2 linked regions of the Caenorhabditis elegans genome follow. The protein of the gene in region 1 interacts with the protein of each later gene in a pairwise test. Each region holds a gene or a part of one and is shown in the gene's direction. Other genes may lie near its edges.

Region 1 (4,554 bases):
TTTATCTTTTTTTTTTACAAGTTTAATTCTAATATACTCAACCGATTAGCCTAGGATAATGCAGCCAACTGACTTAAATTTCTCACTTTTCCCTCTCAATAACTCGATATTCTTTATCGAAATTTGCCTTTTTTCTGTTCAGATTTCACATCAAAAAGAATGGTGTCCCCCGAATCTTTGATATTTTGCTAAAATTTGTATTTTTCATTACTGTTCGGTGTTCACGAATAAAGTTTGATAAAGTTTGATTTAATTATCTGAAAATGTCGATTATTTAATTTTCAGTTATTGCTTAACAGATATTTAATTTATTATGTAAATTTAAGTACATTGAGAGTGGAAATAAATTCGAATTTGATGTTCCAAACAAAGCGATGCTGTATTTGAAGAAAATAATTCTGAAAAAGCAATTTATAATTTATACGAATCACAATCTTTTGCCTCAGAAACTCCTTTCATTTTTCTTTCTGGAATTTTGACCAGTGAAATTGGGACGACAATTTTTAAAAAATTAGGAGAACAATACAGTAGCCCGTCGCGCAAAATATCTCGTAGCGAAAACTACAGTAATTCTTTAAATGATTACTGTATCGCTTGTGTCGATTTACGCGTTCGATTTTTTAAATGAATAAAATTGAGCAAAAAATGAGAAAATAACACGAAGAAACGAAAGAAAATGGAATATTGCTGTCACTTTTTGAAAAAAAAAAAGATTTTGAAAATTGAGCCCGTAAATCGACAGAAGCGCTACAGTAGTCAGTTAAATAATTACTGTAGTTTTCGTTACGAGATATTTTGCGCGTCAAATATGTCGCACAATATGCATTCTCCGAGTTTTGCGTTCCTGTAATACGAAAAAGGTTACTGTATCCCAGGGTTTGGATCGTAGTTTTAGAAATCCCAAAAAAAAAGTTAGGACTCTTTGATAAAAAATTTTGTTCGATATGATTTGAAAAAATAAAGTTCCGTCAACAAAATTGACAGCTGAAGAAGGAAAAGGCGGGGCCCCAGTGGGCATGAGTGTCCCCAAGTCATGCGGTTATGTCTCTGCGTCTCTTCTTCTTCGTATACTCTCATTTCAGCTGTCTCATCGTCTGAAACTCTTATGGCTCAATGAACTCTCGTTTCAAAGAGACAGCTGCAATCGAACAGAGAGAGAAAGAGTGAAAGAGAGAAAATGAGAAGACTGCTTCGAGACACAACCACTTTTGGTCGTACTGCTTTTTTTCACCTGTTTTCACATGTATCGATTCAAGTTTTTAGAATCTAAGTTTCAAATTTTGATCACTTCAAAAATTATTAGTTATTTCTTTTTAGTCTAGACTTTCCTCGCGAGAAACATGCTTAAATTTGAATATATATCGAAATGTTGTATTTCTTATCAATAGACAACATTAATGTTTACTATCGATTAGGTTTTGTACGATTATGTCGTATAAAAATGTTGCTAATGCATTTCCTATGATTCTTGATGTTTTAGAACGGATTACGAAATTCTGCAATGATCAGTCAAATAATTTAAAGATATTTAGTATATTTAGCTACCACCTAGATACAGTAACTGATTAAATCGTCTCACTTCTTAAGTCTATTGTTAACTCTTTTCCTTAAAAAAGGGTCTTCATGTCCTATTTGTTTTGGTTTCGAGACCTGTTTTGGGCATAAATACGTGCAAACTACGGAAAGTCATTCCCGGTTTCCCAGAGAATCAATATTTGACGAGAGCTTCCGTGCACACCCAAACACACAGACACACATACACATAAAATGTTTCACAAAGTCGCTAAAAATGTTTTCTCATTGATTTTCTGGGAAGCCTGATTAATTAAAGAAGTCGCAGTGATGTTGTTCTTAAAGTTCGATGTGTAATTATGAGTAATTTTCCTTCCTGGTTTTCCATGCATGGACGTTTGAACATTATCTTACTATTAATTAGACGTCTAAAAGGTCTTGCGGCGCGAGCAGTGGGTTACTGTAGCTCGTGTCAATTTACGGGCCGAAATTGTACAATATACATTTTTTAATCATGAGTCAGAATTTTTTAAATTAAATTAGAGAAATATAACGCTATGGCAAACTGTATTTTGACACGAATTACAGTAACTTGTTGCCCGCGTGGCGAGACCCATCCGGAAAAGTCATGTAGAAAATTCTCATCTTTAGTCGTCTGAGAAATACTCCGATGTCCTCATTTTGTCACATCTTCATATATTCGACTTTTTTTTCAGCTTGATTTTCGATCGACAATGGGAAACTGCTTGCCGTCGTTGTTCGGGTTCGTCAGACAGCACGATGAGACGCCACTACGACGGTAATTTACTTTGTCATTCACTAGTATACTGTGAGATGTCGATGAAGCTAAACTGATGTGATATACCACAAAAATGAAAACGGAAGTTGTATTAACCAAAACACGTCGATTTTTTAAAAATTTAAATACAATTAGATTGTATGCTTGAAGTATAGAACAAGTTCAATAAACTATTTTTGCAGGAGCCGATCATCAGACGCAGCGATGAGCTTCACAAATCCGTCAATGATGCAACAAAGCGTAAGAAATTATTGAAGAATCTGAATTTAATTAAACTGAAATTTTCAGAGTTCGTACGTAAATCAGCTCTATCAACACAACGTAATTAGACAACGACAAGCACAGGAACAGGGAAAAGTGAGCGTTTAGAGCAGAATAATTTTAATTAAATTTTAAAAAATTCTCAGGAACTCGACGAAGCAAAAAAAAACCGAATTCGAGGACTTCTCGAGCAAATCCCTGCTGATGTATTTCGAGGAGATATGACCAGTAATGAGTAAGTTTTGAAATTCGGATCTAAATGAAAAATTAACTAAATTATTCAAACTACAATCTGACCAATATCAATTATTGTTCGAGCTACAGCAGAGGTGTTGAAAAAATTATTATCACCCAGACGCAAAATTTCACTCACAAAATATGGTTCCCGGTCTCGGCACGACAAAATTTTTGTGTACTGTGGAAGAGTGTGCGCCTTTAAAGATTACTGTAATTTTAAACTATAGATATATACGGAAATTTCATAGATTTTTAATTCTTTTTTGAAAACTCAAATATATGTGATTAAAAAATCACATACATTTTCACGAAACTTAAAAAATGATGAAATTTCCGCTGCAAGGAGAGTTTGAAAATACAGTATTCTATAAAGGCTCACACCTTTTCGCATTAAACAAAAAATTGTCGTGTCGAGACCGTGTATCGCACTTTGGCGCAAAATTTCGCGCCTGTATAATCAGTATTAATGCGCTCTAGTTAAATTTTTAAAAAAACCATTTTCAGATGTGCCATCTGTATGATCGACTTTGAGCCAGGAGAGAGAATCCGATTCCTTCCTTGCATGCACTCGTTTCATCAAGAATGCGTCGACGAATGGCTTATGAAGTCATTCACATGTCCTTCGTGCCTTGAACCAGTCGATTCAACCATACTTTCCTCGTTAACTGCCCATAATATGCAATCCTTACAACAAATCGTGTGCTCGCCGACTTCCTCATCAACTGCCAAACCATGAATGCCTTCTGCAAAAAATATTCCCATTTTCTTGCCCAGTAGAAGTTTTCGAGTTTGGTTTGCAGTGTTGGCTGTATTTGTCCCCATTACAAACGTCTGTATATAGAAATGCGTGTACATATGAACTATACCATTTCTTCACTCATCTTTCACCATTTTCATTTTGTTTCTTTTTTGCTCTGTTCCACCTGAAATCCCCATGTTGTGCATACTGTAGTCGTCTTTAATTCCTCATCATCTCCTGTTCATCTTTTTAGTCAATTCCATCCCAACGTGTTATTTTTCTTTCTTCTGTTCACTCATCTCGCTCTCTGTTCTGTAGCTTTTCTTTAATTCACCACTCGGTACACACTTTCTGTCTATGTATCTGATACTCATTTTATTGACTTCCCAAAAAAACTTCCGGCTACTCTGAAATTCAAATAAATTGCTTTTTTTTAACGCATAAAGTGTCAAATTGTCAAACTTGTTTTATTAAAAGATTCATATTGGAAATTGAAATTTGAAAAAAAGGATTGGATCCCTGATGGAAATTGGTACTCGTGGTGAAAAAAATATTAAAATTAAAAGTCAATTAAAATCCGAAAAAGTCTCGAACGGCATCCCAGGCTCCTTGATCGTAATGCTTATGGCTTAGCATGTTCACACCACGTCGTTGAGTGGTATACAATCGTGTCGGAGTGTCGGACTTCAGAATCTTCTGCGATTCTGGCAGCAATTCGGCGAATTGGCTCTTCTCCGGCTCGTGATGAGGTGTCATATCGGGCATCATAACTGGTGATCCGTTTTCAGTGGTTGGAGTTCCAAAACTAGTTCGGAGCACGAAGACACGTCCAGGAACGGTTGATTTTGTGCCATTTTGATACAAATCAACATCAGACTCGGTCGTAGCGTAAATATATCCGATTCCGAAGCTTCTGCGGAAGACAAACTCATCTTCGGTCTTGTAGGCGTAAATTGGGCAATCCGAGAGAGTACGAACGTCGCATTGGGTGTCAAATTCTTCGAAG
Region 2 (5,847 bases), on another chromosome or scaffold:
AAAAACATTCTCGGCGAGTGGGGAGAGGTGTGCAAGGGATGCACCGAGAAGGCCGAGCTCATCAAGCGCATCGAGGAGCTTAAGCCGAAATATGTCAAAGAAGAGCTGTGATTTTTTTTTCATGCCGTTCTACATGTGATAATCGTGTTTTTAGCGTGTGTGTTTTTATTGCAATTTTACTTGTTGAAATCTATTTTTTATTAATAATAATTTATTTATTGATTTCCCCCCCCCCCCTTAATTTTTTCGTGTTTCATCATCATCTTCCTCCCACTGGTCTGGTCAAATGAAGCTTTTTTCCCTGATTTTCCCTCAGTTTGCCAATTTTTCGGTTCTAATCCGGTTTTTAATAATTTATTTTACCTTTTTTCTAGGTTTTCCAGGAAATAAATCAGTTTAAAAATGTGATTTTCGAAGATTTACGGTCGAAAACTGGCATTTTTAGGCTGAAAATATCGATTTTCACCTTAAAAACCTCCAAAAACCAATTTTATCGATTTCGAAACGTTATTATTGATGGAAAATACGTAAAAATGGAAAATAATACCCATTTTCAGCTTTTTCAACGCCGAAAAATCAATTTTCGGCGATATTTTCTACTAAAATTACCGAAAAATGTGATTTTTCCGCAAAAATATGCGATTTCATAACAGTTTTCGTTGGGAAATGCACAGAAATCCAATTTTTCTAAAAATTTCGCAAAGGAATTGATTTTTTACTTAAATTACCGTTAAATTTATACATTTTTAGTATAAAAATTAAGATTTCGCGTGGATAACGAGAATTTACAGCGTTTTTTTGCTGAAAATATCGATTTTCTCGAATTTAGCGTTTTCAAAATGCTCAAAACGTCGAAAATTCAGTTTTTGGCATTATTTTTGATGGAAAATACGTCAAAAATGCCAATTTTCACTCTGAAATGCACATAAATCCTATTTTTTCGAAATTTCACTGTTGAATTGATTTTTTCACTCAAACTACCGGTGAATTTACATATTTTCAGATGAAAAACTGAAAGCTCCCGTAGAAAACGCGTCTTTTTCAACATTTTGGTGCTGAAAATATCGATTTTCCGCAAAAATAACGAATTCGTAATGCCAAAAACGTCAAAAATACACATTTTTGCGTTTATTTTTGATTAAAATTACTCCAAAATGTCAGTTTTCTGCAAAAATATGCGATTTCATCACTGTTTTCCATGGAAACTGCACAAAAATCCAATTTTGCCATTATTTTGCACCGAAATCGATTTTTTTCTCCAAAAAAATTATTCGAAATCGTGAAAAGCGAGCGTTTTTTAATGTTGGAAATCACAAAAAACCCAATTTTATCGATTTTTGGCCGACGTTTACGTTGAAAACTCGAGGAAAACAGTTTTTTAATTGAAAAATTCATAGTTTCCCGCAGAAAATTAGATATTTTAACTTTTTGTACTAAAAAAAATGGCATTTTTCCGATATTTCGAGAAAAACTTCGATTTTTAATTAAAAAACCTTGAATTATTAGTCTTTTTTCTTTTATTTCAGCCAAAATTTATACATTTATACATTTTTTTCTTCAGTTTTCACCATTTTGCACTCAAAAATCCGTCTAATTGTTGAATTTTTAACAGAAAAACAGTTTTTCGCTGGGAAAAGCTCTAAAATCACTCAAAAACCATCAAATTTATTCCACTTTTCCATGGAAACTGCACAAAAATCCAATTTTGCTATTATTTTGCACCAAAATCGATTTTTTTTTCCAAAAAAATTATTCCAAATCGCTAAAAACGAGCATTTTTTTGGTTGGAAATGCCAAAAACACAATTTTATCGATTTTTGGCCGATGTTTACGTTGAAAATTCGAGGAAAACAGTTTTTTAAAGTAAAAATTCATAGTTTCCCCTAGGAAATTAGATATTTTAACTTTTTTTTTGCGGAAAATGGCCCTTTTCCGATATTTCGAGAAAAAACTTTGATTTTTAATTAAAAAACCTTGAATTATTAGTCTTTTTTCTTTTATTTCAGCCAAAATTTATACATTTATATATATTTTTTTATTCAGTTTTCACCATTTTGCACTCAAAAATCCGTTTTTCTAATAGAAAAATCAGCTTAAAAGCCCCAAAACACACAATAAAATTTCTTGCAGAATGGCCGGGCAACTTCCGCGTCGAATCATCAAAGAGACACAACGACTTCTCGCGGATCCGGTTCCCGGAATATCGGCAAATCCAGACGAGAGCAACGCCAGATACTTCCATGTCATGATAGCCGGGCCAGACGATTCTCCATTTGCTGGTGGTGTCTTCAAGTTGGAGCTTTTCCTTCCGGAAGAGTATCCGATGGCTGCACCGAAAGTTCGATTCATGACAAAGATCTATCATCCGAATATTGATAAACTCGGCAGAATTTGTCTCGATATTCTCAAGGGTGAATAGATTTTCCCCTTTTTTTGAAAAATTAGTGAAAAAATTTTTTAAAAAACGGTTTTTAGCGTTTTAATCAATTATTTTTAGAGAATTTTCTGAATTTTCATCGAAATTTGCTATTTTTACACTGTTTTAACACAAATTTATTGATAAAATTCAGAAATCTAGCTTTTTTGGATATTTTTACTTGAAATTTTTCGAAAAACAGCCCATTTTCAACAATATTCACGAGTTTAGATGAATTTTTTGTATTTTTTAATATTTAAATCAAATTTAGCTCTTTTTGAGCGTATAAATCCGAATTTCATGCTCATTTTTCGCATAATGAGAAAATAATCCAAAAAATATGAATTTTTACGCATTTTAATGGGAAAAATGGATCAAAAACAGCTTATTTTGAGCGTTTTTTGACAAAATAGACGAAATTTCGAGAAAAATCGTGTTTTTTTTTGTTCTAATAAATATATTTAGGTGCATTCGAATGCGAATTTCTCGAAATTTAATTTTAAAAAACCCTCTTTTTGTGAAATTTTTTTCAAAGAAACTGCGAAAATGTATCATTTTTGCGCATTTTTAACCAAATTTCATCGAAAATCTCGGAAAACGGCGTTTTTTTGGCAATTTTTATTCAAAATTGCGAAAATTTCGGCGAACCCCCAGTTTTCGAGGGACATTTTCAATTTATGATCGAAATTAGCTATTTTTAATCATTCTAAAGCGAATTTCTTGTTAAAATTGCTGAAAAATCTGATTTTTTAGTAATTTCAATGGAGAGATAGTAAAATTCGATTTTTAATTACAAATTTCGTGTAATTTCTTCGAAAACTTCTTTATTTTTGCGCATTTTTTCCAATTTTTATCGAAAAATTACTCCAAAAGAAAGCATTTCGATAGATATATCTCATTTTTTGCGCATTTTAATCAAATTATCCATAGAAAAGTTCAATTTTTCGGCTATTTTAATGCGAATTATCTCGAAAAACTGCTCATTTTGAGCTTTTTCACATGAATTTCTCGAAAAAAAATGCCCAATTTTTCAGATAAATGGTCGCCGGCTCTTCAAATTCGCACGGTTCTTCTGTCGATTCAGGCTCTTCTTTCGGCTCCAAATCCGGAAGATCCACTGGCAACTGATGTCGCCGAGCAATGGAAAACGAATGAGGCCGAGGCGATTAAGACTGCAAAACAATGGACGATGAACTATGCTCGTCAGTAATATATCTAGGGTCTCGCCACGAAATCGATGAAAATTTGCAATTCTTTTGAAGCCAAAATCGAAAATTCGACCTCATGTCGATTTACGCCGATCGTGTACTCCCCGAGGAGAAGTTGGAATGATTTTTATACAGTTTTTGACCTTTTTAACATTAAAACTATCAAAAAATGGCTCGTAAATCCGATTTCCAGCCGAAAACTGCTTTTACGCCACTAAAAATATCGATTTTCACGGAAAACACTGTAATTTACGGCTAAATTTGCTATATTTAAGTAAAATTTCAGGAAAAGTCGACGAAAACGGCGAAAAACAATACTTTTAGCGCAATTATGGAGCCAAAATCGAAAAATCGAACTAAAAATCCCTGAAATTGGCGCATGTCGATTTACGTCAACTCGTGTACTCCCCGAGGAGAAGTGGGGGTGAAAAAAACGGGTTTTAAGGTGAAAATTATTGATTTTGGCCTATTTTTTCTAATTTGAACGTTTAAATCATCAATTTTTGCTCGGAATTATAGCTTTTTTGATAAATTTTTATTTTCGAATTTTTTTTAGTTTTTCAACCTTTAAAAAATCGAAAATAAAAATTTATCAGAAACACTATAATTTAGACCTAAATTGGTGATTTAAAGATTCAAATCAGGAAAAAATAGGCCAACATCAACAATTTTCGCCTCAAAATCCATGTGCTTCACCCCTCTTCTCCGCGGGGAGTACACGAGCTGCGTAAATCGACATGTGCCAATTTCGGAGGTTTCTAGTTCGATTTTTCGATTTTTGCTCCAAAATTGCGCTAAAATGATTGATTTTGGACCGTTTTCGCATCGACTTTTCCACAAATTTTACATAACTATAACAACTTTAGCGCTAAATTCCAGTTTTTCAGTGAAAATCGAAGTATTTAGTGTCTTAAAAGCAGTTTTCAGCTGGAAATTGAATTTATGAGCCATTTTTTTGGTAGTTTTAATGTTAAAAAACTGTATAAAAATCATTCCCACTTCTCCTCGAGGAGTACACGGGCTGCGTAAATCGACCCTTCGAATTTTCGATTTCGGCTCTGAAAACAGTAGATTTTCCTAGTTTTCGCTGTGGGACCCAACAATAAATATGCATTTTAATAAATTTTTTTTAACAATTTAAAAAATAAATTAATAATTTTTTTTCAGAAGCCTGATCGTCTCCGAAGCTCGCCTCTAGAACAACTACAAAAAATCACATCAAACAAAAAAAAATTCGAAATTCTCTCAGCCTGCTCTTTGTCCCGCCTTTTCCCGCCCCCTTACGAACTTCCAATAAATTGTATGAATTGCATAAAAATCTCGATTTTCCCCATCTTCTACTATATATCTAAATATTGATTTTTTTTGTCCCCGCCCGGTTTTTTGTCTCGAAATTCTACAATTTCCTCCCCATCCCATTGAATTTTTTAAAAAATTTTTTTGTCTCTGTTGTCTCACGATCCTCATCAAACCGTCGTCGTCCATTTAATTTAAATTCTTCTTTTTTTCTCCCAGTTTCCAGAAAATCTTCTTCCATCGAAATTGATTTTTTTTTCTCTTTTGGAAATTTTGATGATTTTTTGAATAAAGTCGTTATTTTTTTTGAGAATTTTTGAGAAATTTTTGAAGGCATTTCCAGCAGTAGCCTGATGGTTTTCAACCGGAAAAAATGCAAGAATAAATAGAAGAATAAATAGTAGATATTGTGATAGAAATTTTAAAAACTGGAAACTGCCTGAATCGCCGATTGCCGAAAGTGAGAAATGCCGAAAAAATGCACGCTGATATTACTGTAAATTTAAAGGGACACACAGTATCTTGTTGCATGGGTTTCATCGCGATGTGTTCAACTGTAGCTTTTTGATTTTTCTTTCGATTTTTCGAATTTTAACTGTGTTTTTTCATGTTTTTCTTGCGAAATTTGAAGCAATTACCGATAAAAAATTTTTAATTCAGATTTCTGCAAACATGGACTCGAAGCCACTCACCTATCTATCCATGCAGTGCATTATCAAACACTTGGAGGCGAATAAAAGGTGAGACAAACAGTTTCTGTAATTAACTAAATACATAATTCTCAGATTCCGACTGGCCGCACAATGCCCATCTCTTGTAAAGATCGAAAAATCGCAACCTCTGATTATCAAGAAGCTGGAATTCAATCGTAGTACAATCTCTGTCAATGGAGTGAAATACAAACTTGGTGCTAGGAACAATGTATGA

The links.
Region 2: the proteins of C01G6.4 (region 1) and ubc-13 interact in a two-hybrid assay, tested with the Caenorhabditis elegans proteins (one study listed by BioGRID).

Annotation. Positions count from the first base shown.
Region 1 is NC_003280.10:9,270,717-9,275,270, reverse strand, and holds C01G6.4 (RING-type domain-containing protein), read left to right. Parts: upstream 1-2,228; 5' UTR 2,229-2,246; coding exon 2,247-2,311; intron 2,312-2,493; coding exon 2,494-2,551; intron 2,552-2,599; coding exon 2,600-2,668; intron 2,669-2,718; coding exon 2,719-2,807; intron 2,808-3,313; coding exon 3,314-3,545; 3' UTR 3,546-4,006; downstream 4,007-4,554. Other genes in the region: C01G6.3 (Lipoprotein), read right to left, coding at 4,119-4,554.
Region 2 is NC_003282.8:2,921,975-2,927,821, reverse strand, and holds ubc-13 (Ubiquitin-conjugating enzyme E2 13), read left to right. Parts: upstream 1-2,130; 5' UTR 2,131-2,131; coding exon 2,132-2,411; intron 2,412-3,450; coding exon 3,451-3,618; intron 3,619-4,791; coding exon 4,792-4,799; 3' UTR 4,800-5,231; downstream 5,232-5,847. Other genes in the region: manf-1 (Mesencephalic astrocyte-derived neurotrophic factor homolog), read left to right, coding at 1-111; fbxc-45 (F-box C protein), read left to right, coding at 5,593-5,660, 5,706-5,841.